Linked DNA regions of Chlamydomonas reinhardtii. The protein of the gene in region 1 binds, or shares a complex with, the protein of each later gene. Links are inferred from orthologs where the notes say so. Each region holds a gene or a part of one and is shown on either strand. Other genes may lie near its edges.

What was found.
Region 2: the proteins of CHLRE_06g296983v5 (region 1) and CHLRE_02g142000v5 are in contact, whole or in part, in a crystal structure (PDB 6GUM), measured with the Arabidopsis thaliana proteins. The link is inferred for Chlamydomonas reinhardtii from reciprocal best matches to the Arabidopsis thaliana genes SAE2 and SCE1. Residues at the interface, in NP_179742.2 of Arabidopsis thaliana: Leu469, Met471, Gly473, Asn474, Ser475, Leu476, Glu479, Val480, Gly481, Asp483, Leu484, Asp485, Met488, Asn491, Tyr492, Asn495, Pro504, Thr514, Glu516, Asp517, Leu518, Gln519, Lys525; in NP_191346.1 of Arabidopsis thaliana: Arg7, Ala11, Arg14, Lys15, Arg18, Lys19, Lys28, Pro29, Thr31, Asp34, Gly35, Thr36, Val37, Asn38, Leu39, Met40, Glu67.

What each region holds. Positions count from the first base shown.
Region 1 is NC_057009.1:7,061,265-7,076,135, reverse strand, and holds the start of CHLRE_06g296983v5 (uncharacterized protein), read left to right. Parts: upstream 1-7,262; 5' UTR 7,263-7,402; coding exon 7,403-7,474; intron 7,475-7,576; coding exon 7,577-7,672; intron 7,673-8,369; coding exon 8,370-8,474; intron 8,475-8,827; coding exon 8,828-8,944; intron 8,945-9,262; coding exon 9,263-9,343; intron 9,344-9,767; coding exon 9,768-9,942; intron 9,943-10,205; coding exon 10,206-10,477; intron 10,478-10,789; coding exon 10,790-10,954; intron 10,955-11,324; coding exon 11,325-11,399; intron 11,400-11,800; coding exon 11,801-11,899; intron 11,900-12,597; coding exon 12,598-12,706; intron 12,707-13,040; coding exon 13,041-13,183; intron 13,184-13,828; coding exon 13,829-13,925; intron 13,926-14,389; coding exon 14,390-14,544; intron 14,545-14,811; coding exon 14,812-14,871. Other genes in the region: CHLRE_06g297016v5 (uncharacterized protein), read left to right, coding at 1-50, 1,026-1,177, 1,423-1,473, 1,745-1,902, 2,328-2,421, 2,759-2,864, 3,245-3,362, 3,595-3,646 and 6 more.
Region 2 is NC_057005.1:7,835,014-7,849,815, reverse strand, and holds CHLRE_02g142000v5 (uncharacterized protein), read left to right. Parts: upstream 1-8,259; 5' UTR 8,260-8,443; coding exon 8,444-8,544; intron 8,545-8,963; coding exon 8,964-9,084; intron 9,085-9,512; coding exon 9,513-9,587; intron 9,588-9,823; coding exon 9,824-9,877; intron 9,878-10,089; coding exon 10,090-10,218; 3' UTR 10,219-10,879; downstream 10,880-14,802. Other genes in the region: CHLRE_02g141850v5 (uncharacterized protein), read right to left, coding at 5-175; CHLRE_02g141900v5 (uncharacterized protein), read left to right, coding at 579-611, 802-882, 1,232-1,332, 1,896-2,018, 2,305-2,440, 2,757-2,798, 3,118-3,207; CHLRE_02g141950v5 (uncharacterized protein), read right to left, coding at 4,600-5,064, 5,235-5,293, 5,510-5,664, 6,036-6,077, 6,344-6,434, 6,773-6,800, 7,296-7,409, 7,762-7,998; CHLRE_02g142050v5 (uncharacterized protein), read left to right, coding at 11,310-12,986, 13,154-13,405. UniProt on the Arabidopsis thaliana protein: SUMO-conjugating enzyme that accepts the SUMO proteins from the E1 SUMO-activating heterodimer SAE1/SAE2 and catalyzes its covalent attachment to other proteins with the E3 SUMO ligases SIZ1 and MMS21.

The DNA.
Region 1 (14,871 bases):
CCCTACCAGGAGAAGTCGCTGAGCAAGATGTTCGGAAACGGCCGCGCGCGGTGAGGGCGGGGGGGTGGGGTGGGGTTTCGCAGTGTTGTTGTCACTACTACGAAGAATGGATTGGGGTTAGGAGGGGCTGAGGTGTCCGCTGTTGGGTGCCATTGGCTTGGGCTTCAGTGGGCGCCGGTCTGGATGCTCCCTCCTGTCATACGCCCCATCCGGCCCCCTACCGAGCCTGTGCGGCGCTGCCAACCAAGTTCGACTGGACTCGCGCTCCTCTCCCTCCTCTCCCTCTCGCCTCGCCCCCTTTGGGTTCTGGAATGAACAACCTCCCTCCTCAGTGCATCTTCCTCACCCCCCAACTTGTGACTCGGTTCTCCATCAACAGCTGCAAACCCCCCCATCTCCTCTCCCCCCCACCTCTTCTCCCCCCCTTATCTCTTCTCCCGCCCTCATCTCTTCTCCTCCTCCTCTTAGCTAACCATGAATGTAACAACCCCCCCTACGCTTCTCTGTACCAATCTTTGCAACCCCCCTCATCTCCCTCCCCCCTCCCCTACTCGCATTGCACGTTTGCTTGTATGTCTGTGCCGCCTGTTTGCCGTTTGAGTCCGCCACGCCTGACTGCCGCTCGCCCTTTTCCTGTGTGTGCTTCCCCTTGCGCGCGCGGCTCTGGCGTGGCTTGCATTGCTGAGCGATTAGGTGAGTTCGCGGGGTCCCGGTTTCGCGCCGCAGCAGCTAAGCTAGCCACCTAGACGCATGCACTCAGCTTCTTTACCAACGAGCCTTACTTATCACCACTACTACTCCAGACTACTTGCTTTCAATAGGAACTTAGTATTTTAGCGTTAGCCGCCACGGAAACACGGGGGAACCAGCAGCCTGCCGCTGGCGAAACAACGGTATGGAATGCGTCGCGTGTGCCCGCTGTACCTCTGGACGTCGGCACTTCACTTCATATTTGATACACACCATCCCATGGATGGCTACCCCCCTCCCCCTCCCCCCTCCCCCTTCCCCCTCCCTCCCTGCAGCTCCGGCATCATCGTGCTCCCCTGCGGCGCCGGCAAGTCGCTGGTGGGTGTGGCTGCGGCCAGCCGCGTCAAGAAGAGCTGCCTGTGCCTGTGCACCAGCAGTGTGTCGGTGGACCAGTGGAAGTACCAGTTCCAGCTGTGGACGTCCATTGGTGGGGGCGGGGCTGGGGGAAAGGGGGAGGGCGGGGGGGGGGGATGGGGGGAAGGGGGAGGGGAGGGGAGGGGGCTGGAGGGCGGGGTGGGTGGGTGGATGGGTGTGGGCTGGAGGGCGGGGGCTAGGCGGGACTGGGGCTGCGGCGCGGGGTGCTATGCCGTACGTTGGACTGCAGGGCTCATCAAACACCTGTGCTCGCTGGCGCGCTTTCATCTGCTTGCTCGCTCGCTCGCTCGCACACAGGTGACCACCAGATCGCGCGCTTCACATCTGAGAACAAGGAGATGTTCCCAGGTGGGCGTGTGTTGCTGTCTCTCTCTCTCGCTCTGTGTGTGTCTGTGCTTCTGTCGGTTGTGTTGTTGTTGCGGTTCGACAAAATCCAGTCTTCTGTCTCGAGGCACGGGGCCACCCAGCCGAGAAACAAATGTGCATGGACCCCAACCCCCAACCTCACCTCCAACTTGTGATACAATCACTCCGTTCTTCACATGCACGGCTACCCCTCCCAATTCCCCCCTCCCTACGACTTCACTTCTTAATTAATCATGAATGTAACTCCCCTCAGGCGAGGCGGGTGTGCTGGTGACCACCTTCACCATGATCGCGTTCAGCGGCAAGCGCTCCGAGGAGAGCGAGCGCATCATGAACATCATCCGCAGCCGCGAGTGGGGGCTGCTGCTCATGGACGAGGTGCACGTGGTGCCCGCGCAGATGTTCCGCACGGTGGGGGCGGGGGGATGGGGGGGGGCGGGGGGGGGGCGGGGGGCGGGGGGAGTGTGTGTGTGGGGGGGAGAGGGAGTGTGTGTGTGAGAGAAAATGGGGGGAGGGGGGAGTTAGGGGAGGGGGAGAAGGGGAGAGGGGAGAAGGGAGAAGGGGTTAGGGAGAAAGGGGGAAGGGGGAGAGGGGTGCTGATTTGGCAAGCCCCACTAAGAAGGGTTTGAGGGCAGGTCGGGGGCGGCAGGCAGGAGGCTAAGGAGGCACCAGACAGCAGAAGGGGCAGGGGGGATTAAGAGGCAGAATGGCGGAGGGAGAACACTCCTGAGCCCTATTCGCCTCGCCCCTCTCTCTCACCCTGTCTGCCCCCCCACCCTGTCTACCACTCAACTAATCATGAATGTAACCCACCCCCACACCCCTCCACCCCCCAGGTGATCAGCACGTGCAAGAGCCACTGCAAGTTGGGCCTGACAGCCACACTGGTGCGCGAGGACGAGCGCATCGCAGACCTCAACTTCCTCATCGGTAGGAGGGGGATTGCGGTGGGTGGGGGGGATAGGGGGAGGGGAGAGGGGAGGGGAGGGGAGGGCGCAGCCTAGGAGATTGGCAGGTGGCGGCTGTGGGACGCGTCATCGCGCTGGCACGGCCCCACGCACACGCGCACGCAGGCCTGTGTGACATGAGGCATGCCACATGCGCGTCAACCCCCTCCCTCCCCCCCTGCTCCTCCCCCTCCCTCCCTCTCCTGCTCCTCCCTCAGCGCATCCTGTACTGCGTTTCCAAACATCCTTGCAACCCCCTCCCCCTCCCCCTGCTCCTCCCCCTCCTCCCTCTACCTCCTCCCCCTCCCCCCCCTGTGTAGGCCCCAAGCTGTACGAGGCCAACTGGCTGGACCTCACTCGCGCCGGCCACATCGCCAACGTGCAGTGCGCCGAGGTGTGGTGCCCCATGACAGCAGAGTTCTACAGGTGGGGTGGCGAGAGAGAGGGGGGCGGGGGGGGGCAGGGGGGTTGAGGGGGCAAGTGGGGTGGCGGGGGCGGGGAGGGAGGGTGTAGGGGAGGGGAGGGGAGGGGAGGGAGGAGAGGGAGGGGAGGGAAGGGAGGGAGGAGAGGGTGTAGGGGGCGGGGGAGGTGCAGGGAGGTGAGGGAGGAGGAGAGGGTGTAGGGGGGGGGCGCGTGGGAGGGAGAAAGAGCGCCTGCGAGAAGGGAAACGCGAGGGTACGGAGGTGGACGGGGCGCTGTGTGTGTATGCGTGTGCATGGTACGCCGGTACGCGTGTAGAAGCTCCAAACTCATACCCCAAACCGCAAGTACACACACACACACGTTTCGGACCCAACCCCCCGCAGGGAGTACCTGAAGAAGGAGAACAGCGGTCGCAAGCAGCTGCTTTACGTGATGAATCCCAACAAGTTCATGGCGTGCCAGTTCCTCATCGACTTCCACGAGCGAGTGCGGGGAGACAAGGTGGGGAGGGAGGGGGAGGGGAGGGAGGCGGAGCGGGAGAGGGGAAGCACGGGGAGAGGAAGGGGGGAGGGGGTTGGAAAGGAGGCGGGGAGGCAGGGGAGGGCGTGGCGCGAATGCAAGGTTGCCCGACATCAGGCTTGACGCCGGTCATACACTCATACCACCTCAAGCCCATTACCAACTCCATCCCCCAACCCTCAACTGCGCCCCCCCCCCACCTCCCCCCCCACAGTGCATCGTGTTCAGCGACAACATCTGGGCCCTGCGCGAGTACGCCACACGCAGTGAGTGGCGCCGCCGCCAGCGCCGCCGCCGGCAGGAACAGCAGCAGCAGTGCCGACCTGTGCGTGCCGCCGTGTCCCCATGCTGCTGCCTACCCCCTGCCCCCGCCCCCCCCACTCGCCTCACCCGCCTACACCCACCCCTACCACCCCATGCCCCCCCCCCACACACGTCCCCCCTTCTTGAATACGGTATTTATGAATGTAACCCCCTCTCCGCATGAACGGCTACCCCCCCCCCCCCCTTATCTCCCCCCTCCCCCCTGGCAGTGCGCAAGCCCTTCATCTACGGCCCCACCAGCCACGCCGAGCGCACCCGCGTGCTGCACGCCTTCAAACACAACCCCGACATCAACACCGTGTTCCTGTCCAAGGTGCGGCGCGGGGGGGGGAGAGCAGAGGTGTTGCTGTGTGTGTGTGTGTGTGTGTGTATGTGTTTGTGTTGAGAGCCCAACGTGCCTCTCACATCCCTCCCACATGCCTCCCACCACATCCGCTGCCCCTGCTGCTGCTCCTGCCCTCTCGCCCCATCCCTCACCTCTCATCCCTCATCTCTCACCCCTCATCCCTCATCCCTCTGACCAGGTGGGTGACAACAGCCTGGACATCCCGGAGGCCAACGTGCTCATCCAGATCAGCAGCCACGCCGGCAGCCGCAGACAGGAGGCGCAGCGCCTGGGCCGCATCCTGAGAGCCAAGCGCGGCAAGGCCGGCAGCGGGCACGAGGGCGAGGTGGGGCAGGGGCAGTGGGAGTGTGCGTGTGAGTGTGTGTGCGTGTGCGTGTGTGGGTGTGGGTGTGGGTGTGTGTGCGTGTGGGTTTGTGTGTGTGTGTGTGTGTGTGTGTGTGTGTGTGTGTGTGTGTGTGTGTGTGTGTGTGTGTGTTGTTCGTGGTGGTGCGGTGATGTGTGTGTGTGTGTGGGGGGGGGGGGGGGCGGGGGATACCGTACTGCCAGGAAATATTTTTCATAATTCGTTTTTTGGCGTTGAGAAAAACAATCTCGAAAAAAGTTAAAATGAAAAAACTTTATAGCTGCGTGAAAACTGGGGGTTACGCGAGGAAGGGCAGCGGGGTGGGGCACACGCGTGTGTGTTCCGACGGTCACACACACACAGCGCCACACGTTTCTGGATGCACCGGATCATAGTGCGCATTGGGTCGGCTGCTGGGCCAGATAGGTCGGAGAGCTTGGAATGGAGCAGTGGGAGTCGTTTCCCTATGGTGTACAGTACCGTATGCTGTCTGGTGGGGCTGCGCCGGCGTGTGGCAGAGCAACCAATCCCGCCCCAGCAAATAAAAGTTGGACGTTGGAGTCCAACCGGCATTGTGGGGGCATGTTTGGGAATCGCCGACATGTCCGTGCCGCCGCCCCCGCCCCCGCCCCCGCCATGCGTATCTCAGCTGCTCACCGGTTGCTCCGCGGCCCTCCACATCCCCGACCCCGCATCCCCTCTCTTTCCCCCCCTCTCCCCGCCCGCCTTGGCAGTTCAACGCCTTCTTCTACACGCTCGTGTCCAACGACACCCAGGTGCGTGCAGGGGGTGTGGAGGCGAGGCGTGTGGCGGCGTGGGCGTGTGGCGGCGTGGGCGTGTGGAGGTGTGGGCGTGTGGAGGCGTGGGGCTGGGCGCCGTTCCAACACACACACACACACACACACACACACACACACACACACACACACACACACACACACACACACACACACACACACGAGCTGTCCCGACTGTCCTGTATGTGTCCGGTCCTGATGCGCTCAACCCCCACAGGAGATGTTCTACTCCACCAAGCGCCAGCAGTTCCTCATCGACCAGGGCTACTCATTCAAGGTGGGTGGGGGGAAGAGGGGTGGATGGATGGGATGAGTGGAGGGGAGAGGGAGCGGGGCGGAAGTGGCAGTGGCGGCGGCGGTGTGTGTCTGTCTGAATGATAATGTCCTGACTGCGCCTCCGCTATCCTCTTTCCTCGTCATCTCAATACTGCTTTCGTACGACAGTCATACCGCTCCTACCCCTCCTCCGCCTCCTCCTCCTCCTCGCCTCCCCTGCTCCAGGTGGTGACCAACCTGCTGGACGCTGCGGGCGGCGGCGAGGGCCTCATGTACAGCGACCGGCCCAGTCAGCTGGACCTGCTCAGCCGCGTGCTGTCGGCGGGTGAGGGAGAGGGGGGGGCAGGAGGAGGGGGGAGGAGGGGAGGGGGTTGTAAATACCAGCCCAAACTAAACCAAACCCAACGAAAACGAGCGGAGCACAGGGGGCAGGAGCGGGGGAGAGGAGGGGAGGGAGGAGGGTAGGGAGGAGGCAGGGAAGAGGGCAACGAAGAATGGGAGGTTGAAGGAAGGAAGAAAGGACGGGGCAGTTGCGGGACGGGGAGCGATGGGAAGTGACATACAGGGCCGCGCTCGGCAGCAGTAGCACACCGGCAGCTCCCTGCTCCCAGACCACTTCACCGTTCACACCCTCTCTCCCATCACTGCCACCCACCCTCGCTCCCACGAGTACAACCCTCTCCTCCGCGCTCTACGGCTTCTGGGCTGGCAATGGCTTACGGTATCCTGTCATTGGAACAAACCAATCCAACCCACCCGTTTCCCCCACAGGCATGGAGGAGGCGGGCGTGGAACACCTGCGCGACGAGGACGCCGAGGGACTGACGGCGGCGGGCGGCGGCCGGCCGGCGGCGCGGCGGCGGCTGGGCGACATGGCGGCGCTCACTGGCGGCGCCGGCTACCGCTACATGGAGTACGGCACTGGCGGCGGCGGCGGGCGCGGCGGCGGCGGCGGGCGCGGGCGGGGCGGGTACCAGGGCACCAAGGCGCAGTCGTGGGCGCGCAAGCTGGGTGTGGCGGCGAAGCGGTGAAGGGGGGGGGAAGGGGAGGGGAGGGGTGAGGAGGGAGGGGTGGTGATTCAGGGTGTGGTGGTGAGTGTTGGAGGTGGAGGTGGTGAATGTGGGGTGGTGAGGTTGTGTGGGGCTTGTGTGTGTGTCTGTCTTGTGGATGGGTGCGGGGGTGCGGTGCACGGGTGCGGTGTGAAGAAGACCAATTCATCCTGGGCGTGGGTGTTGTACGTGACTTTCAAAGGCGGGTGTGATACGGTACTGGGTGGGTGTATTCCTGCACCGGTGTGTGCCGGTGTGTGTCCAGGGCCGTGGCAGAGGCAGGATGGGCCCGCATTTAGGGCTTTAGGAGAAGCCAAACAGTTTACATGCATGGCGCAGTTACGCACTGCGGGCGGGTATGTACGATATAGGGGGGGAGCAGGCTGCAGGCAGACAGCCAGTATGCTAGCAGGCAGACTCAGGAGTGCAGGAGATGGACATGTATCAGATGTATGGACGACTGTTACAGTTTTGTGCAGGGCGTGAGTTCAGGAATTGCTGGCGGTAGGATGCCCCGGAATGAAGGGGCTGTGCTGCTGCCGTGCTACGGTGCGCACGCTTCGAATACGGTTATACGGTACTTTGCGACGGGCAAGAGGTGCCCCTGTAATGGGGCCCAGCAGACTCCACAAAGCTTTTGTCACCTTGGGCCCCGATGCCCCATGCCTCTGGGCACGCCACGCATGACACGGTCGACGAACCGCCTGACCGCGAACTTTACTTTATTTCCGTTTCATAGGTGAGGTATTCATACCTTCAATTGCATAACCTTGGCGCCTTGGCGGGGCGCTGGAACCCGAAAGTCGCCCTCGCGCCCTCGGCACTTTAAATATCGACCGCTATAATTCAACCATCTAATCAACTAGTTTGTTTGATTCATAGCAAAGATGGAGGCCCCAAAGGCGCCTGCGGAGCCATCCTGGCCCGGCGTGCTGCGAACCAAGGAGTTCAAGGAGAAGGTTAGCAATTCGTAGGCTTGCCTTGTATTTTAAACACTGTGGGACCAATTGCTAGCAAGCGACTTGCGCTTGGGCTGACATTTAGGCGGGCACCCGTCGCAGATCAAGTCAGCAAAGGTGCTGTGCGTGGGCGCTGGCGGCATTGGCTGTGAGCTGCTAAAGACGCTGGTGTGCACGGGCTTCCGGAACATCGAGGTGGTGAGTTGGGGCCGAGTCGGCCGGGCCTCGACCGGGGGGAGGAGTGACACTGGTAGGTGGAGAGGTCCCTCCAAGTTGGCAGGGCGGTCTTACAGCCCAGCTCACAGCCGGTGTTGCCCCGAAAGCAGACGTGAGCGGGAAGGGTGAGGCGGCCCTAGCTGCCGTCGTGGCGGGGGGGCCGAGTAAACGGACATGGGAGGAAAAGGAGTGGGGGCTGGCACCTGCCGCCTGAAGTGTTTACAGCCACGGGTGTAGGATGCCGTGGGAGGGCAAGACTCCGCGCCCCGGGTGGTGTGCCCTTACGAAGGCGTCCTTACGGTGGCGGGACGCGTGTAGGCCCGTGAGCCCGTGGAGCTGGGCTGACACTTGACTGGGGGCGCCACAGCGGGGTCGTGGCCGAGATACGATAGACACTGCCGAGTGCCGGCCGGGGGGGGGTGCAAGGATTGGTAGGGAGGAAATCGTGAATTCCAGCCCAAACTGAAGCAAACCAAGCTACAACAGGCGGAGCGGCTACAGGCACAGGCTACAGTGACACGCGTGTGCTGCCGTGGGGCTGGGGAGGGTGGGTGCGGGGGCACGCACTTACCGCTAGTGCTGACTTGGCTCACTTCTTGCGGACTGAGGGATATGCCCCCGCCGCCCCCGTGCCGACCCCATGCCAACCCCACCGATTTCCCCGTTCCCCCGGCGGCAGATTGACCTTGACACCATTGAGACCTCCAACCTGAACCGCCAGTTCCTGTTCCGCAAGCACCACGTGGGACAGAGCAAGGCCAACACCGCGGCGGCCGTGGTGCAGGTGCGGGCGCGCTGTATCGGGGTGTGTGGGGAGTGAGTGTGTTGGGAGTGAGGCCAGGGGAGTGTAGGTTGCTGGAGGGAGGTGGTGGTGTGTTTTGGGGGCGGGCGGGAGCATTGGGGCGTGGGCTGCGGGCTGGCCGTGCGGACGACGATGACGGCTGGTCACCGGCTGGGCGGGTGGGAGTTCCCAAGCACGGGCGTGAGCACAACGGTACCGTATCTTGTGGTGTGGCTGATCGCTCCATCGGTTGACACCGCCGCGTTTCTAAGCTTTCAGTTTACGCCTGAAGCAAGTACACAACCTGCCTACCAAATAATACGTGTGTGTGTGTGTGTATGTGTGTGCACCCGCAGGGCTTCTGCCCCGGCGCCTCCATCACGCCGTACCACGCCAACGTCAAGGAGGGCCGTTTCGACGTGGACTTCTTCCGCCGCTTCGACCTGGTGCTCAACGGCCTGGACAACTTGGAGGTGGGAGGGATGGGGCGGCGCATGGGGCATGGGGTGTGTGTGGAAGGGTGTGCGTGGGAGGGTTGAGATTGTTTCCATTCCACGGATTGCAGTAAGGACAGCTAGAGCAAACCGTGAGATGCAGAGGCAAAGAGCGCGGGGGAGCCCGTGGATGGGTTTGGGTGTGGGTTTGAACTTGTCGTCGGGGTGGTTTTGTCGGGGGCACGGAATGGGAGGATGTGTCGGGGCCCGTTCACAAGCACATGCACGACTCACCGCTGCCCCCCCCCTCTGCCGCCACGCTGCCTCCACGTTGTCGCTGTTGCTGTCACCTGTCAGGCCCGGCGGCACGTGAACCGGCTGTGTCTGGCGGCGGAGCGGCCGCTGGTGGAGAGCGGCACCGCGGGGTACCTGGGCCAGGTGCGTGTGCGTGTGTGTATAGGGCGGGGGGGGGGGGGTTAACTTTGAACCAATCCCGTAAGGAAACAGTCGCGCTGCAAGGAGAAACTGCAGCCGCATATGCGAGGGGGGGGGGGCGGGCGGGGCGGGGGTTACATTCATGATTAATTAAGAAGTGAAGTCGTAGGCAGGTACAGTTGCAGTTGCGGGGGGGGGAGAGGCGGGGCAGGTAAAATGGCGCAGCACATCATGTTTTGTACGCGCCCCTGAAAAACACATGCGGCCGAGGGCATGTGAGATGGGTTGGGTTCCCCAGTTCCTGGCTACCACCCAACCAATGCCTGCCACCCCCAAACGCCCCGCTGTGCAGCCACCCCGCCCCTTCACTCTCCCTCCTCTGTGCCCTGCCCCCGCCTCTCCTAACACCCTCCCCCCTGGTGCTCAGGTGACGGTGCACATCAAGGGCCGCACCGAGTGCTTCGAGTGCAGCGCCAAGCCCGCGCCCAAGACCTACCCCATCTGCACGCTGCGCAACACGCCAGACAAGCCCATCCACACCATCGTGTGGGCCAAGGACCTGCTGTTCAACAGGCTGTTCGGCGCGCCGGACGCCGTGTCGGGTGAGAGGACTGGGGGGTTTAAGTCTGAACCAATCCATTTAGAAAGGAAACAGTAGCGCTGCAAGGAGAAGCCGCAGCCGCACGAGTGAGGGCAGGGGGGCATTGTTTTCGCCATTCCCAGTCAGGGGAATCAGAGCCCCGAAGGCGAAGCCCCTTAGGTCAAATCTGCAACAACCCCAGCCCAATGTGTGCCGCCCCAACGCGCCTCTACTTACCCAAACCGATCCTTCACAATCGTCCTTACCCAAACCCACCCCTCACAGATCTTGACGACCAGGCGGCACGCGAGGGCGGCCAGCCGGGCAAACAGGAGGAGGGCGACAAGGAAGGGGGCGAGGGCAAGGAGGGGGCAGCCGAGGCGGGGGAGCAGAGCGAGGAGGCGCGAGCCGCCGCCGCCTCGGCCGCCGCCGCAGCCGCGCAGGCCGAGGACCCGTCCTTCTTCCTGCGCCGTGACGGCGAACCGGCGCTCGAGTACGCGGCGCGTGTGTTTGGCCGCGTGTACACCACCGACATCCAGAGGCTGGCGGAGGTCAAGGTGGGTGCGGTGGGGTGTGTGTGTGTAGAGTGTGTGTGTGGGGGGGGGTGGAGGTTTGGAGGGGGGTGAAGGTTTGGAGGGGTGTGTGTGGGGGGGGGGGGTGGGGGGCGGGTGCGCCGCGTGCACTTGCCGCCCCGCCCCGCCGACGAACGTTTGGCGACGCCCCTTACGCACACAAAACCTATACACACGCGGGCGTCGCACCGCATCGCAACACACACGTACAGTCCTGCGTGCTTCCTTCCCTTGTGCTCTCTGACACCCCTACATATTCATACACACACACACACACACACATTACACGCACCCCAGGAGCTGTGGGAGAAACGGCCGCCCCCCCGGGCGCTGCATCTGGACCAGCTGCTGCCGCCGGCCGAGAGGGCGGCGCTGCAGGCGGCGCTGGACAAGGCGGCAGAGGCGGGAGCGGGGGCGGGCGCCAGCGCGTGCAAGCTGCTGGGGCTGAGTAACGCCAGCCAGGTACGGCGTGTGTGTGTGTGTGTGTGTGTATGAGCAGGTGTGTGTGTGTGTGTGTGCATGTGCGTGTGTGTGTGTGTGTGTGTGTGTGTGTGTGTGCGTGTGTGCAGGTGTGTGTGTGTGTATGTGCGTGTGTGTATGTGCAGGTGTGTGTGTGTGTATGTGCAGGTGTGTGTGTGTATGTGCGTGTGTGTATGTGCAGGTGTGTGTGTGTGTGTGTATATGTGCAGGTGTGTGTGTGTGCATGTGTGTGCGTGTGTGTATGTGCGTGTGCGTGTGCGTGTGTGCGTGTTCTGTATTCAAGGTACCGACGGTGCCGTCGACACTAGCGATGTACCCATACACCCACACGCTCGCTCCACCCCCTGTGCAGAAGTGGACTCCCGGCCAGAACGCGGCAGTGCTGCTGCTAGCCACGGCGCTGTACCACACCGTGCGGCCCAGCGAGGTGCGCGTGTGTGTTTGGGGGCGGCTGAAGTACGGTATGATACCGGTTAAACCAAGAAGGGGGAAATGTCACGACAACCAACCGCAGGGTGCGCTGCCCCAGTGCCCAGCCCTGCACGTTGCTCGAACACATGCCCCCCGACCCTCCTTGCGATATGAGTATACTCAGTCCCTTTTGGGCCGCTTCCTTCCGCTTCCCTCCCCGTCGGCACTTTGCCTTTGTGTTTTCATCATTTTAATCCGCATGAACAGCTATCCCCCCATGCATTGGGTTCGGTCTAGTTTGGGCTGGTATCTACAACCCCTCTGCTCCCCTCGTCTGCTGGTATTTACAACCCCCCTGCTCCCCTCCTCCCCTGCTCCCCTCCCCTCCTCCCCTCCCTCCCTCCACACACCGTTCAGGTGGGCTCCGCCGCCTTCGACAAGGACGACCTCCTGGCTGTGGAGTTCGTGACCGCCGCATCCAACCTGCGCAGCAGCTGCTACGGCATCCCCGAGCAGGTGCGTGCATGAGTGCGTGCGTGCGTGCGTACGAGCGATTGCGGGCGGGGGGGGGTTGCAAGGATTGGTACAGAGAAGTGTAGCGAGGTAGGCAGCAGGGGGGGGGGTGGCGTGCGTGCGTGCGCGCGCGCGTGCTTGCGTGCGATTGCGGGGGGGGGGGGTTGGGCAGCGTGTGTTGGGCGGCATGGATGTGTTAGGAAGGCGCGCAGTGTGTGTGTGTTTGTGCTTGCTGCTTTCCTATGCGTCGTTGCTTGTAAGGGCCCTGGATGGGCCAGGGGGGCCGGCGAGGGTGTGCGTGCGGTCCGTAAGGTCCCAACGGAAGGTTCTGGCGGGGGGGTATTCACGGCACCGTCAAGACGGCGCACCTTCTTAACGTCCTTCGGTGCTTGCTTGCACACACTCAAGCAGGCACCGAAGGGCGTTAAGAAGGTGCGCTGTCTTGACGGTGCCGTGAATACCTTCACCTCTTTCCAGGCGCTCGCTGCTCCATTGTATGAAGTGTTACTGCCGCTGCCTTTTCACACTCCTCACCTTGCCTTCCTCAATGTCTCCATTCTTGACAGTCGGGACCTATTTCGTTGGACTCGGGCATATAAACCCCTTAGCTAGTCATGAATGTAAACCCTCAACGCTGCATCCGGACTGGTAATGCCTGGGATCCCCTCCCTCCCGCTCTCGCCCTACCCCTCCCTGCGCAGTCGCTGTTTGACGCCAAGGGAATGGCCGGCAACATCATCCACGCCATCGCCACCACCAACGCCGTGGTCAGCGGACTCATCGTCACCGAGGCGCTCAAAATCCTGGCGGGTGAGGGGCCGGAGCAGGGTTGGGTAGCTGGGTTTCAGGATAGGCCGGGGGTTGTATCACACCTCAGATGCGTAAGCCGCATACACGCACACATGTCCTTCCGGTTGAGTTTTACAACGCATGTACACACGTGTTTCACTCCTTTGTGATCTCTAACACACCTTCATTCTGCAACAACCTGTCAACATCTCCTGGTCTTGATCAATCAACACTCCCTTCCCCCTCCCCGGACGGACGTCGGTAAAAACGCGTCTGCTATGCTACTGTACCTGGCTACGCCTTCACTTCTTAAATAATCATGATTGTAACCCCCCCTCCCCTCCCCCCAAAAAAGGCTGCCTGGGCTCGCTGCGCAACACCTTCCTGTACGAAGTGCCTGTGGACCGGCGGCTGGTGGTGCCGGCCACCGCCTGGGAGCCGCGGCCCAGCTGCATGGTGTGCGGCAAGACGCAGCTCACCCTGCGCATAAACACCAAGGTGCGGGCGGGCGGGCGTGTGTCCGTGTGTGTGAGTGTGTGCACTGTGTGTGCGTAGTGTGTGTGTGTGTGTGTGTGTGTAGAGTGTGGGGGGGGAGTGATTGTTGTGTGTGTATGTGTGTGTGTGTGTGTGTATGTATGTGTGTGTTTATGTGTGTGTGTGTGTGTGTGTGTGTCGAGAGAGCGTGTGTGTGGGGTGTGTGGGGTGTGCCTGGACCCCCAGGTAAGTCGTGGGTTTTGTTTGTCGCCTCCGCGTGTCTGTCCTGTGCTGTTGCGCGTGCCATCGAGCCCGGGCGGCGACATTTATCGCCGGCGCCGCTTGCCCTGCTGCTCCACGACGCATCGGCCCTCATTCCATAAGTATTATCTTTTGCACCTAACGCCCTCTGCTCTGTGCTCCGCTCGTTTTCGGTTGGTTTGGTTTAGTTTGGGCTGGTATTTACAAGCCCCCACCGGTGTGTGTAATGTGCCTGGACCCCCACCGGGGGCCGCAATGCCCCTGTCCCCTACATACGTTTTACCACCCTGCCTTACATGGACGGCTCCCCTGTGACAATTGGGACCTAGTTTGTTGGGCTTGGGCATATCACGTCCCCCGCACCACCCAACACACACGCTCCCCACCGCGCTGCGCCCCCCCCCCCAGACCACGCCGCTGTCTGGTCTGGTGGGCGCGGTCATCAAGAAGCGCCTGGCGGTCAACAGCCCCAACCTCATGTGCGGCGGCTTCCTGTACGAGGAGGGTGAGTGGAGAAGTGTGTGTGTGTGTGTGGGGGGGGTTGGAGGTGGGGGTGCGGGCCAGAGGGCTGGGAGGGCTGGGGGGGGGGGCTTGGCGCACGATGTGAATACTGGTGGGTTGTGGATGGGTGCGTCAGGTGGGGTGCTGCTGCGCTGTTCCGTTCACACTCACGTTACAGAAACATGCGGCGTAGTCACCCTCACAACTTGCACGCGCGGTGTCGAACCTCTCCCCTCGGGCTTCCATAACACCCCCCCCCCTCCCCGTGCCCGCTCCACCCCCGCCGCTGGCCCTCCACGCGCACCCCCACCGTCTACCCCCACCCCCACCGTCTACCACTTCCTTAACTAGTCATGAATGTAACCCCCACGTTTCCCCCCCTACGCCTTCACTTCTTAACTGATCATGAATGTAACCCCCCCTTGCCCCCCCCCCCCCCCACTCCGCCCCCCGCCACCCCCCCAACAGGCGAGGGCCTGGAGGAGGACGAGGAGGCTGCCTACGCGGCGCTGCTGCCTCGGCCCCTGCGCGACCTGCCCGGCGGCGGGCTGGGCCACGGCGCCATCCTGACGGTGCAGGACCAGAGCCAGCACTGGGGCGTGGACGTCATCATCGCGCACACGGTGGGGAGGAGGGGAGGAGGAGAGGGGAGGGAGCAGGGGGGGAGGGGCGGTTCAATGATTAGGGAGCGGTCCCCCATTGTCAGTAAGGTTAGGGGAGTTGCGTCACCGCCCCCGTTCTTCACGTGAATGGCTACCCCGTCCCTGCATGATCACGGCGATTTCGCATAGGATCATCAGTGCACCGCACAACACGCAACATCTCAGTCTTCTGACTCACCTTATGCCTGACCAACCCCCCCCCCCACACACACACACACGCGCACGCAGGAGGACCTGTCCCCCGACGACGCGCCCGAGGGCTTCATCCTGGAGGGGGCGCTGCCCACG
Region 2 (14,802 bases), on another chromosome or scaffold:
TCACCCGCACACGCTTATGCCACGAGCAACTTGCTACGTGCACTTGTTTTGTGCGCGTCAGTGGCCCAAGCTCCGCCAGCGGCCCCGGCGCATACCGGACCTGCCCAGTGAACTGCCCAGTGACAGCCTGTTTGCTCCGGCCGACAAGTTGCGAGCAACGGCTCGCATTAAACATTTGACTTATAAAAGCCGATGAATGCATCAAGCAGGAAAGGGGCAGTGAGCCCCCCAACCAAGGCTGGGGTGTTGCGAAGTAGGGCTTCTGTGACAGGCAAGAAGAGCAAGTATTGTCCAGAGAGCAGTTTTACATCACAGTTTAAGATAATGCGTTCGTCCCTACGCGGGCGATGCGGGCTGTCCTGTCTCAGTTCACTAACAACAAGTGCTCCATCTGGCCAAATCACATACTCTGCAAGCTATCATCACTTTGTTTCACCAGCTTACAGCTGCCTGTGCGTGGCCAAAGCTATTGAACAATGCTTCGCCGAAGAGGGCTCTTGGGCTTGTTGGCTGTGTTGCTGCTAGAACGTCATATAGCAGCAGTCAAGATTACGGTGCCGCCTGGCCGAACGGAATGTATGGGCGAGACCGTGGAAGCAGAGCATTTCTCGGTAAGGCCTGCTGGGTCCCTCTTAGCTACCACGGAATGCCACGGTCGCTTACATGTATGTTGGTCCCTCTCTGGTATTGGAGAGGGTCCGGGCCGGGTGATCTTCGCGAAGGTTGGAAGTCGCGGCGCTGCTTGCGGCTCGCCGGGCCTGCCTGTGTGCGCTGATTGATGCAAGTAACGCTCTTGCGCAGGTGCCGGGCGGTCCCCGCGTCGACGGCCGCGTGCTCGTCAGCGGTAACAGCCAGTACTATGTGCCGTTTGTCACCATCCGCGTGAGTCGGGCGGCGGGCGCGGTCCAGCTGTCCTAAGGGGGGCCCGCAGGGAAGGAGCCCGTGGGCCTTCTCTGGGCGTGTTGCGTGGGGGCCGTGAAGCAGGAGCGGAGCAGCGGAGGAAGACAGGAGCAGGCGCGGGAGCCAGGGTCTGGGCTGGTGGGGACGTGTCGAAGGCGCAGGCTCAACGGGGGGGGATCATATGGTACTGCCGTAAGCACACGAATTGCCGGGGCCTATTGCCTCCATGCCACAGCGCCAGTCACAAACGCGCTTACGTCCTACATAGCCGCATCCCGCACCATTCCCGCCTGCTCACGGCATGCACCCCCCCCCCCGCCTGCCTGCACAGGTGCTGGGCCCAACCGGCGACCAGATCTGGCAGCAGCAGCACGTGTACCAGGAGACCCACTTCAACGTGGGGGCGCGGGGGCCGGGCTCCTACAAGGTCTGGTGAGTGCTGAGGGGTGTGGGGGGGAGGCGCTGCCGGTGCGGGGCTGTGGTGGGTGCAGGTGGACTGGGCTGCAGGCGGCCGCGCCGTGCCCGGCTTGGCTGTGCAGTGATGGGATGGGCAGGTGCAGCGGCGGGTGTGGGTGTGGGTGTGGATGCGGGGGCGGAGCGGGGGCGGCGTCGAGAGGCGGTGGGGTCACGGCCACAGCCACAGCCACAGCCACAGCCGCGGCGATGAGGGCGCCCGCCGTGGACCGGCTGCACAGGCTCTGGGGTCAGAGGCTGGGATGGGGCAGCAGTGCTGCACGGACACCGCATGGGAAGGGGCGCATGCGTGGCTTGAGCAGCCGCTTCGGGCCTCAGCACACAGCAAGCCATGGACCGCCCCGGCAAGCCGCACTAGCAACCCCGGCCAGGCGCCCCGTCATCTGGTGGGCCGAGCACGAACGTGCACAGGCGCTGTGTTTGCGCCTGCCTGTCTTGACCACGCGCCTCGCTCTCACGGCTGGCTGCTCCCACCCCATGCCCCCTCAACCCTCACGCCCGCCTCCCATTTCTACCCACAGCTTCTACAACCCCTGGGAGAGCCGCACGGACGCCAATGTGGACCTGGTGTACTTCACACTGGCGCACCTGCGGCGGGGCGCGGGGGGAGGCATCCAGATCCCCAAGGGGACGCAGGAGGAAAGGTGGGGGCATAGACGGGCGGGGCGGGTGGGTGGGGTGGGGGCCGGTTGGCTGGATGCTGTGAGCGGGACCACCAGGGGCGGCGGCCGGTGTGGAGCCATGCGGCGCGTGCGCTGCTGCTGACAATGGGCGCACCGCACAGGCCTTCACGCCTCAACACAGTGCTGGACACAGGGGGCACGTAGCCACAGAGCCTTTGCCAAACCTGCGAACCTGCTGCCCGCTCTATCCCCTTCCTCCCCTGCCCGCTCCCCACGCACACGCACACACACACACTCTTCCCTCCAGGAACAAGGAGGTGGCCAGCACGGACCACATGGAGGACGTGAAGCGCACCATCCTGGGCATGAGCGAGTTCATGCAGGTCATCTCCGGCAGCCAGAAGTACCTGCAGCGCAAACTGGAGAGGCACCAGAAAACCATGGTGCGGGAGGAGGGGCGGGGTGGGCTTAAGAGGTGGAGGTGGAGGTGGGGGCCCACAGGAGGTGGGGTGGGGGCGTGGGGACGGCATGGGAAGTAGGGAGTGTACCCGTCCGTGGTGGGGTTGTACGGGTGGTGTACTGGTGTGTTTTAGTGTAGGGCCTGAAGGTGGGCGGACTGGGAGGCTAGGTAGACATCTGTGCCGGATGGAAGTGCCTTACAACCTGTGACCCTACACTCCACACACCCGCCCGGCCCACCACGCCTCGCATGCCATGCTGTCCCGCCGCCCCACCCCACCCCCGTCACCCCCGCTGCAGGAGAGCAACCGGGACCGCACCCTGTTCTACACGGGGCTGGAGGTGAGCGCCTGCGCCTAGGCGGTGTGTGTGTGTGGGGGGGGGGGTTGCAAAGATTGGTACAGAGAAGTGTAGTGAAATAGACAGGGGGGGAGGGGCCAGGACGTTGGGTTGGGACTGCCGTGAACACACATCAGTAGCGGCGAGGGGAGGTGTAAACTTCACACACGCCCTTCTCGCGCCGGGTGCGGGCCCTCGTGCCCCTGCGGCACACCCGCGTCCTGACTGCCCTTGGCTGGCCGCCACTGCCGCACGCCGCCGCCTGCCCCCCGTTGGCTCCCCCACCCACCCCCACCCCTCCCCGCCCTTCCCCGCCCTCCAGGTTGGCCTGCTGCTGCTGGTGGGCTTGGTGCAGGTGCTGGCGGTCACCGGCTTCTTCAAGCCGGGCATGATGAGCAAGGCGTGCGTGTAATGCGGAGGCGCGGGAGCAGGGCCGGGTGGAGCTGTGGCGGCCGCATAGGGCTGCGGCGGTGGGCAGACAGGCTGGCAGTGAGTGGCAGCTGACGAGAGAATGACTGGAAGAGAGAGATTGGATAATGAAAGATGGCATTGGTCGAAATTGGGGCAAGGCAGTTGGAAGCGGAGTGGCGACAATATGTGTCGTGAGCCTTATGAGCTGCACCTAGCGCCGGCGCGCGCTCAGTGCAGGGCGTGTGTGAAGTGTGTAAGGAAGGTTCAGGCGCGCAGGGCTCGTGTTCATTCTCAATCTGTGTATACCTTCCGTCCGTTTGCACGTCCCATATGGTGACACAGGATAGCGAGGGGTTGACGCGCCACAAAGTCCACACACAAACCACTAACTGTCTGGCACGCCGGCCCGTGGCGTGTGTTGAGTGAGAGTGCCGCAAGCAGAGGCCGTCCCTGTCTCAAACCTTTGTTCCGTTCATGACACGTCAGCTTTGTCACACACCAACGTAATGGTCCGCGGCTCCGCGCCCATAAAGACCTTATTCCGTATGGAGTGCTGATCAGTGCTATGCCGGGGGGGGGAGCAAGTGCTCAACCCCACCCCTCCAAACCCCTCGGGGACCCCAGGGACTGACCGACCGACAGCTGACCGCTTAGGGGAGGGGGAATCAACCCCTCCACTTGAAACCGCAATCCTGCTTATCGACCGATCTCGAGAGGCTGTGTGGTTGCTGCCTGCCTGCACCATTTCACCTGCGCGGGCTTCCATCCATGGACACGTCCCCGAAATTGTTACGCCCACCCGCCCATTTTGCATCACACCCACAGTCCAGTCAAATCTCCCCCCGCAACGTTAGCCCTGGCGAGCCTGAGTGGGGGCCTCTACTGCGCTCCGTGTGCCATCCGGGCCGTGCCTCCCTTATGCAACACCTGCGCCCCCGCGCCCGCGACGTAGTCCAAATGTTCGAGATGTCAAACCCGGTCTAACTATGCGGCCAATTTCTGCGGCCGTGCGCTGCCGCCGCAAATTATCGCCAGCCGCATACCGTAATACCAGTGCTAGTGGCCAAACCATAACAACGTCGCGCTGCCAAGAACAACGCAGTGCCACAATGTAAGCTATGCTCATTCCATCATGCCCGATATCAACGCCCCACGACGAGGCTCCGACAGTCCGACCCCTGTGCATGTGCAAGGTTCATGCCACACGCATTGTGCGGCTCCGTGGCTGTCCCGGGATTATTGCCACCGCTCCCCAAATTCACAGCACAAGCAGTACTACGGTACTCTACGTCACAATCAAGAAAATGATGCTACCGTATGTAAGGCCACTGAAACTGCTGAACCCCATACCAGCCTTGCGCCTGCCAGCTTTGTGGTCCGCCTCCTCCCCTGCTCATGCCTGCACAGTGAGGGCTGCCATCGCCGCCACGGCCACCTCACCCACTTTCCCACCCACGGAGGTCTCCACCTCCGCCTCCGCCGCCTCTACCGTCGCCGCCTTGCCCTTCCCGCCTTCCCCCTCCGGCGCGCCCAGATCCCCTGCCGTGCTTATGGACACCACCACGCCCTCCCGCCCCACCTGCGGCGCCTCCTGCAGCTGCTGCGCTCCCTGCCGCGCCCCGTCCTCATCCTGCTGCCCCGCCTCCGCCTGCGCCTGCACCTCCGCCGGCCCCTCCTCCCGCTGCTGCGCGGGGTCGGGCGACCTCCACGGCCCCACGCTCTTGTACCCGCGCTGCATCCTGCCGCCGCCCCCCAGCAGGTCGGGCAGCCGCTCCGCCGGCACCAGCTTGGTGAGCTCGGGCAGGTAGTCCGCCCCCAGCATGATGATCTTCTTGCGGGTGCGCTCCTGCAGCAGAGGCTGAGAGGGACAGAGAGGGGGGCGGGGGCAGGGGGGGCGGGGGAATAGGGGCGTCAAGGACAAGAGGAGGGGCCGCGCGCAACCTCGGCGCTCGCCCTAGGCCGCGCCCAAAGACACGCGCAGCGGCCGCTCCCCTCCGCTGCGGGTGCCCGGCCTGCACCCGGGCTCACCTGCACCGCCGCCCACATGCCGCGGAAGATGAGCGGCGTGTTGATGATGAACATGGTGCCTGCGGGGTGTGAGGGGCACGTGCGTGCGCGTGTGTTTTGCAGAGCACAAGGAAACCACGCATGTGTATGTGTGGGGCCGTGTGGTGTATCAAGAGAACACATCTGCACAAGTCAAAGAAACAGGTGCAGTGTATATGTGTATATGTATAGGTACATGTTTGCGTGTGCGTGTCGGCTGGGGGTTGCCCTGGCCCTGCTGCGGGCGCGCTGCTCACCCAGGTGCTCCGGGTAGTAGTCTTGGTCGATCTTGGAGAAGGTGTTGAGCAGCCGCTGCGTGGCGGCGTTGAAGTGCGCCAGGCTGAGGCCGGCCAGGTCGATGATGACGGTGGTGGTGCAGATGGGGCGGCCCGCGGCGGCGGAGCAGGCGGGGCTGGTAGGAGGGGATGGGAGGCGCAGGCGAGAGGGGAAGAGCGGGCAGGGTCACGGGAGTGTGGAAGATGGTGGCCGGGGGGACCCCACATGCAACTCGTCCACGTCCCGATTTGCGGATCATAAACCGCAACCGGTTCTTCTCTTCGTCAGTCCCCCCCATCGGGCTACTTTAGCTTGGCTTGCTTTAGTTTGGGCTGGTATTTACACCCCACCCCCATCGGTACGCGCGCCCCCACGCCTGCGGTCTGCCTCGCTGCACCTCTCTGTACCATCTTTGCAACCCGCCACTTGTGCGCTGGAAACCCGTGCCCGTGCATCCATCATCCAGCAGCATCCCCCCCCCGCCCGCCCGCCCCCCTGCTAACTCACAGGTAGCAGCGCAGGTATCGCTCCCAGGTCCAGCAGTGGTACCTGCACAGGCCGGCAGAGGAGGAGGCAACAGGCGCGTCAGCAGGTGGCGGGCGAGGGCACACAGGGTGCGCCCGCGCCGCGCTCGGGAGGAGCCGCACGGGGTCAAACTCCAACGGCTTTGGTCGTGTACGCTTCAGACCCATTATCACCTCTTCCTTTCAGTCCGACTTCAGAGCCATTGGAAGGCGCATACGGCACGTGGACCCCATCCGCCCCGGCGCCACACCGGCGCCCCCCCCCGGGCCGCCCCCCGCCTCCCGGTCCACCTGATGAGTCGCTCCACTGAGATGACCTCGAACAGCTTGGCGGCGTCCGTGCGCCCCAGCATCTCCACATACACCGGCCGGCCGAACTTGTCTGTGGGCGCAATGGGTGCACCGCATGTGTGTGAGGGAGCGCGCACTGTTTGAGATGCCGCTATGTAGCAACCAGGGGTCTCCTGCCCATGCGGCGTGAGGTGTGAGGCGTGCCGGGGTCCTGGCCGCTGGGCTGCAGCCACGCTGGACAGGGTGCTGCCAGCGGCCCAGTCCGCGACCGCGACCGCGACTGCTGCCGTGTGGCCACGCCGGCAATGCCCTCCCCCCCTCAAAACACATACACACACGATACACATACACACACTCCCTCAGCCCCGCCGGGCGGCGGCGGCCCCAATACCGCACGATAGCCCCAAATTCTGTCCCCCGGTCGCCCACCAGTGTTGAAGGTGAAGTGTGGGTACACCTGCGGAGGGATCGGGGGGAGGCAGGGGCCGGGGGACGGCAGGGGCCGGCGGCAGGCATGATGTGCGTCAGTAACGCGGCGGCAGGGGAGGTCGGCACCAGGTCTGCCAAAGCCGTGACCCAGCAGCGCACGAGCCAACACCACTGCAGTAGCACGCCAGCTAGCACCCCGGCACTACCACAGCCTCTCAAATATACGTGCACGCAGCTTTGCTGGTAGTGTGTAGCTGGTGCAGCTCTCCCCGCCCTTCCCGCTCCACACACCGCCTTTCTCCGGTGCTCACCCGGCAGCCACGCATTCGCACGACACTTCCCCCGCCCCGCCCCTGCCGTGATCGCCCTGCAGCCCCCCCCCAGCCCTCCCCTCAGGCCGCAGGCCCCTCCCCTCAGCCCCCCAGCCCCCTCCCCTCAGTGCAGTCCAGCGCATCACCACTGCGTTTGATTCCTTCGGTCACTCCCCCCAGCCCCGCAGCTGCCCTCCAGCATTCCGCCCCACCTCCAGCAGCGCCTCCATCTCCGGGAACTGCTCTCCCGCGGGGTCGTCCCGGTACAGCCCTGTGATGCCCTCCGATTGGCGCCAGGCGCGCATGTCCCGGTACATGGACAGGGCCTGAACCGGGCGGAGGGGGTTGGAGGGGGTGGAGGGGGTGGAGGGGGAGTGAGGACGGGGCAGCAGTGGCAGGCGGCAGCCGAAGAACCTGGCAGTGGCCGCCCACAATTCGAGTAGCGGTAAAAACACGCGTCAGAAATGATCTGGCGGACTTCCAGATTACAAATGAAGGTAGCAGACATGCAGAAGTGCAGTGGCGGAGCTGGTGCGTGCGACCGGCTGTAGCCGCGTTCCAACTACCGGTTTGAGTACCCCCCACAGCGTTACTCCCCCTCCAAGCCCCTCCTCATTTTATCCTTCCCAGCACCGTTCCTAGGCCTCCTCCCCCTGCACTTCCCCTGCCCCCTCACACCTTGTCCACGTTGAAGTCCCGCGCCATAAGGAAGCGCAACAAAGTAATGTCGGCGTCGTGGTCCGGCACTATTAAATTCTCCGCCGTGAGCTGCTCGCGGAGTTTGCTAAGCGCAGCCTTCTGTTCCTCGCTGGGCGTGAGGTACCAGAACGCGTCTTTGTCCGTGTAATTGTCAGCAGCAGTCGCGCTGGGGGTGGCGGTCGTGGCCGCGCCCCAACCCGCGCCCCATCCCCACATCTTTGGCTGGTCTTAAGGTTCAAGAAAGGCTTTGTGAAACTCAGGGTGCGCCACACGGGAGCGCGCCCACACCCGGAAATCAGTGACTAGTCAACGCTATCGCGTTCTGGGCCAGGGTTCCTCTAGCGACTGAGTATGCTGAGACGAATACTGTATGCGCCCCTGAGTCCACACCATCTCAAGAGGGACTCTGCATCGACTCCATCCTGTTGGCCCTGCGCTGAGTGAGTTTGTTGCTACACGCTACACTGCAATACATAAAAGAGCCATATATCTACTGTCTTCCCATAAACCCTGGCTGTGTAAGAGCGAGCTACAAATTTTCCCGCGAAGCTTCCACCCTTGCCAACGCGGGAGTAAGCCCCTGCATCAAGCAAAGGGCGCACGTTAGAGCCTTGGATCTTGCTGGGGTCAACACAGGAGCCACAGCTGCGAGCCCGCTGAAATGTCTGGCGTCGCACGCTCACGCTTGCAAGAGGAGCGGAAAGCCTGGCGGAGGGATAAGCCGTTCGGCTTCCATGCTCGACCAGAAACCGCAGACGACGGGTAAGCGGGGAAGCGCAGCCTTCAGGCACCAGCCCGCCAAGTGGTGCACTAAGGGCCTGGGCCCACCCAGGCCTCCGCCCAGGCCCCAGGCAGCTGTTCTGCTCATAAGCGCGACTTAAGATGTGTGGGCATGGGCAAGGGGTGCCTGCGTGGGCGTGTGTCTGAGGGGAAGGGGGTGTCGTAGTAGCCCACCCATGCCAGGGCACCTGGACGGGTTAGCGTAACGTGGTTCCACACACGAGTGGCGACCCAGCCGGATGGTGGCCGGGTGCGCAGCTAGGGTTTGACTCGCAGCAGAGCTATCGTCTAACACCACGCAGCCATAGTCCAGACCCGCAGGTGACCGCTGCCGTCCTAGCGCACAGGTCGATCAGTCGCCCCGGCCCTGCCGTCCTTGCCCCGGCCCCTCCCCCGCCCAGGAGCGTGAACCTGATGAAGTGGAAGTGCCACATCCCCGGGAAACAAGGCACGGACTGGGAGGGCGGCTTCTACCCGCTCACCATGGAGTTCAGCGAGGACTACCCCACCAAGCCGCCCAAGGTGGGGACTGGGGAGGGCAGGCAGGAGGCAGGCAGGGTGGGGTGGGGGGATTTGAGGAATTGGGGGGTAGCAGGGTTTAGGAGGTGAAGTGGAGCACGAGGTACAGGGCGGGTGCGGGCTGACGGACGCGAAGGGTGGGGCGGGGCAATTGTTGGAAAGGAAAGAGGCTGGGCCGGTGGCTGTCTGCTGACCAGCGACTCGTGGAAGCCTGTGTGCGGGCTGAGGCCGGGAAGGGCGGTCGTGCACGGGGGGTCCTGTGTCGCGGCCTGCCATGTGTCTGCTGCGCCATGCAGCGCACAGCACACGCCACGCCGACGCCCCGCTGCACCTGCACACGGCGCCGTGCCCCTGGCCCCCAGCCTGTCATCAGACCGCCAGCGCTCACGGACATTGATGTGTGTGCATATGTGTGTATTGCCCCTGCGCAGTGCAAGTTCCCCGCGGGCTTCTTCCACCCCAACATCTACCCCTCCGGTACCGTGTGCCTCAGCATCCTCAACGAGGTGAGGCCGGCGCACCCATGGTCTCGGGGGGGGGGGCAGGGAAGCACGTGGTGTACTCCTCGCAATGAAGCCAGGCGATCTAGTGAGCGGCCGCAGTCCTTTGCCGCTGGAGTGGAACTGCAGCATGGTGACCGCTCGTATCCAATGGAGACCTTGCATATACCCATTCATCCCGGAACCCGCCTGACCCCACACACCATCCTGGGCCCCTCCTCCCCCTCTCGCGCTGCCCCCAGGACGAGGGCTGGCGGCCCTCCATCACCATCAAGCAGCTGCTGTTGGGCATCCAGGTGGGCGGGGGGGCTGGGGCGGGTCTGGGGAGGGCGGGGGGCTGCTGGGCAGGGGCCTTGCTGGTTTGCCATGGGCGTGTGAACGCGACGGACGCCACGCCCCAGGTCTGCTGTATCGCCCACACAACCCTGCAGCGCCTGTAATCCTCCCCTGCCTGGTGTCCCCTCCCCCTCCCTCCCTGCGCTGCCGCCACCCCCCACCCCCCGCCCAGGAGCTGCTGGACACGCCCAACCCCGGCAGCCCCGCCCAGTCCGACGCCTTCGTGCTGTTCACGCAGCAGAAGGCCGAGTACGTCAAGAAGGTGAAGCGCCAGGCGCTCAACTACCCGCCACCCTCGTGAGAGGGAGTCGCAGGCGGCAGCAGCGGCAGCAGCGGTAGCAGGCAGCAGCAGGGGCGGGGGAAGGAGCTGTAGGGAGGAGATAGACGGACGTGCAGGAGGCATGGCAGGGATGTGGGCTGTGCTATAGGGAGGGGCATTGGGACCTGTCGGGGCGGAGGATGCAGGGCGACGCAGGCTAAGCAGGTAGCAGCCCAGCTCCAACGACGCACAGGCGTCCGAGTGCTAGCTGTGTCGGGTGCGGTGGGGCGTGGGTCACGGGCACTGGTTTCCCGAGCACCAAGAGTGCGGTCGGGCGGTCACGTGGGCGTGGAGACTGATTTCTCGTGAGCAACAGGACCAAACAACTGCACAGAATGCGCGACGGGCCGTGGTGTGTGCATTCTTGCTCTTGCAGCACTGAGCAGGCTCATGAGCTGATGAGGCTGATGACCACATCAGCAATTGCATGTAATTTGCCCATGCTGGATTGCTGAGAGCCCATTGATTGCCCAGCGCTGTGTGGGCGCGGCACAACGGGGTGGTGACCTGGGGCGGCGCAGACGCGCGCACCTGTTGGGCCAATTGGGCCTACCTGTAGCGCCTGTAGAATCCGAATCTGCGAGCTCTGCGAGCTCTCAGGGGAGAAGGCGACTGATGTTAACCAGGTTAAAGGGCACCAGTAACTGTTCCATGGGGCTCCCTGCGTACGCACGACAAAGGGGTGAGACAGCGAACGTGAAGGGGCCAGACTCCACGTTCTGCGCGCGTGCCGCGGGGACAGTTCGCTGCGCCTGCCTGCGCGCGCGCCGCATGCATATGGCTCGTTCCACGTTTAGAGGCTGCTTCAGGGTTTCGGCGCGTAACAATCCATGAAATTAACGCACATTCCGTGCTTTGCATACGGGCGCAAATCACGCGCTGCATGTCGCAATCAACTATAAGGAGGCCTTAACTCGCACTGCTTCAGGATTTAAAGGTCATAGCGTACCAGCAAATAGTGGGCTCGTCCTAAGGCTGCAGTGGGCGATCAAGGTACCTCCATGTTAACGCGCTCCCGCAGCTTGTCGCCAAACATCCCGCATATGGCCATGAGCGCAGAGCACAACGATGCTATGCCAAGTTTGGATGACATTATCCGAAGCCTGGTTCCGGAGGCCGTGCCGGGCCTCTTTGCAGGCGGGCAACTGGATAGCGCGGGGGGCTTCGCGGCCTGCCGCCTTGCCAGCCGGGCTCTGCGCGACGCGCACGACCCCTTAGTGCGCAGTATGAGGCTGCGCATTAATGCAGCCGCGATGTCATTCTACCAGCAGCTTGGCCACTCGCCACTTGCGCGCTTTCCGTTCTGCGAGGATCTCACCGTCGAGTTGATCGACCACAGCGAGGCTTTGAATTACACAACTCTCGTTCATGTTGATGACGATGACCTGGACGAGCTGATGCGGGATCCAGGGCCGAAGCCAGGGCCAGAGCCGAGGCCGGAGCCGCACTGGGCGCCGGAGCCGGAGCCCACCTCCCTGGGGGAGCTGGTCGAGTTGGGTCTGGCGGGCTGCAGCGCCGCAGCGCTGTCCCGCATACGGCGCCTCGCGCCGCGTCTACTGCTAGTGTCCACAGACTGTGAGGCGCCGGGTGAGGCCGTCGGCGTGCTACTGCGGCGCCTGCCGCGCGTTGAGGTCCTGGACCTGTCCGGCTGCTGGGGCGTCCTGGGCGGGGTGGCTGGCTCCTACGACGTGGAGCGGGAGCACCTGGAGCTGCTGTATGGTGCGGTGGCGGAGGCGGCGGCTGGCAGCGTCATGCACCTGGCCCTGCCCCGCCTGCGCTTCTGGAACGCGCTGGAGGGCGTGGGCGCGCTGGCGGGCTGCGCCTCCCTGCGCGTGCTGGATGCCTGGGCGGGGCACGACTTCCGTGCTTGGCCTCGGCAGACGGATGACTCTGTGCCGGAGCTGACGGAAGAGGTGGTGGTGGCGCTGTCGCGCCTGCATCAGCTGCAGGAGCTCTACCTGGCCTGCCGCGACCCCACCATCGGCGGGCAGCTGGTGGAGTGTGTGGTGAGCAGCCACCGCCCCCGCGGGCTGCGGCGGCTGGGGCTGGCGGGCTGGGTGATGGGCGCCACCTTCACACCCTTCGAGCTCGACTTTGAGCCGACGGCCCGGGCCGGCGGCGGCAGCGGCCGCAACAGCGGCGCCGGGGCGGCTGCGGGGCGCGCCGTCATCATCAGCCGCATAAGCACCGCCCTCACCCACGCGCCGGCCGACCACGGGCTGCACGGCTATGGCAGCATGCTGCCCATGGCGGGCATATTGCGGGGCGTGCTCACGGCGGGTCAGCGCCTGCCGCTGCTGCGCCTACACACGCTGACGGGGCAGCCCTCTAAGCCGCTGGCGGCGCTGGCGGACCGCAGCGACGCCGTTGAGCTGTGCCGGCTGGACGGGCGCTCCATGCCGGCAGCCCAGCTGAAGGCGGTGGTGAGGAGCCTGGGGCTGCCGCAGCGCCTGACGCTGTGGCACGGCGCCTGGCGGCCCGCTGCGGCTGCGGAGGCGGAGGTGGGGCCGCCGGCGGCGCCGCCGCTGCTGCCGGTGGGAGTTCTGGAGGGAGCAGCAGCTGGTGGTGCGGGGGCAGGCGAGATGGGTGCTGGGCTGCTGCTGCCGCAGCTGGAGGCGGCAAGTGCGAGGCAGGTGCTGGACGCGGCCATGACGCTCGCTGGTGGTGGCCGCGGCGGTGGAAGGGGTTCAGTGGCGGTGGCGGCGTCAGAGGCGGTGGCGGACGAGGTGTTGAAGGCCGCTGTGCAAATGGTGGGGCGGGGTGGCAACAGCACTGAACGGATGTGCTACATGCGCACTGCCTGTCTGCCTGTCTGCCTGTCTGCCTGCCTGCCTGCCTGCCTGCCTGCCTGCCTGCCTGCCTGCAAGCGCACTCCTCCACCCGTCGCCCCTCATTCCCCGCCCATGCGCAACCGCAGGTGTTGTTCCGGCTGTGGCGGGAGGCGTGGGCTGCAGGTGCCGCCGGTAGTGGTGGTGCCGCTGCAGCGCCCCAGCAGCAGCCGCAGACGCGGCAGGGCCCCCTGCACCCACAGGCCAGCCGCGTGAGTCCAGAGCTGCCGGATAGGCTGACGCGGCTGCAGCAGCTCGATGCGGAGGTGGCGGAGCTGCGGGGGGCGGAGCAAGTGCGGCGGGCGGGCGGCGCTGCTGGGGGAGCAGTCGGCGGGCAGTAGGCGTGCAGTAGGCGTGCAGTGATGAGGCCCGGCGGCACTGGAACCAATTTGGCGGGAACCAATTCATCGAAGGCTGTGCCTGGCCAGTAAAGGTCGGAAACTACCGCCGTCGCCTGTCAATTGGATCAATTCGGTCAATTTGGTCCCCGGGCGGAGGCTAGGGAATGTACAGTACACTGAGAGGACTAGTGGACAACTGGCCTGCCTGGTGGTGCCTGTTAAAACCGCCCCCAGCTATGCCAAGGAGATGAGGCGAGTCCGGAAGATCTTCGCCCTGAAACCTTGTACCGTAGTCAGTACTGTTGTAGTGTGGGCGTGAGCCATATTCCTTGGATTTATCGGCAACCTGAGCAGGGGGGGGGGTACGATTGTACGAACTAAACCTCCAGACCCCATGTCCCAAAACCTCCCGACCCCCCTCAAAACCCTTTGGTTTTTAGCCAGGCCGGTGTCAATCGACTGCTCTCGGCGAGCTCTACAATTGTATACCTCCGGTTCAGCTGGAGGCACAACTTGACTGGCAGCCATGCCACACATGTCCATGTGTCCATGGCCGACCACCGACCCTTCTGTCAGACTACCGGGGCGTGCGCTTAAGCTTACAATTGCGCTGTACATATGATGTTTGGGATTGTGTGCCGGAAGAGATTGGTCGACTTTCTCCCGGGATCATGTGAAGAATCCCGGGATTCATGTCACGCTCGATGGCCGGCGGCAGCCTTGTCGCCATGACCCACACCAAGCCTTGGCCGTTACAAGTCAGAATCAGTTCGCATAGTCTCCATGACACCAGTGAGAGACGCTCGAGTGGGGCTCTACGCTACTACGATGCCGATGTGGACGGACATGCGGCCGCTTTCCAGAGGCCAAACGTTCTGCAAATGCTTCAGTATGTGCATGCTAATGTGTGCTAGTGCTTGTGCTAATGGGCGGAGCGTTTAGAGGGGCGTTTAGGGCGCAGAGACGAAATCTGGCAGTCCCACCCACATCCGCGTGACGAAACCTTGGGGACCCCCAGCCCCGACGACCGACCCTGAACTTTGAGGGCCCATAACTTTGCAATTACTACCCTGATTGAAACTCTGAAAGTGGATTTGGAGTCCTCTCGTCAAGCTCTTTCGTTTTAGAACATGGGGCCTTTCCCAGTCGAAACTACCCCCCCCCCCTGTATCTACAACCCCCCCCTGACCTGAGACTGCTTCAGGGTTTCGGCGCGTGATACTCCAGCCACATGTCTGTTGGTGCCGTAACATGTTGCTGCCGCACAGTTGCAATGCGACGCCCGAGCCAGAGGAAAGACCGGAAACCCTGCCTTGTGCTTTTATACACTTTCATTTTCGAAACCGCGCCGCTCTGACAACAAAGGGAATGCCACATGTGGTGGTGCGCCATGCAGC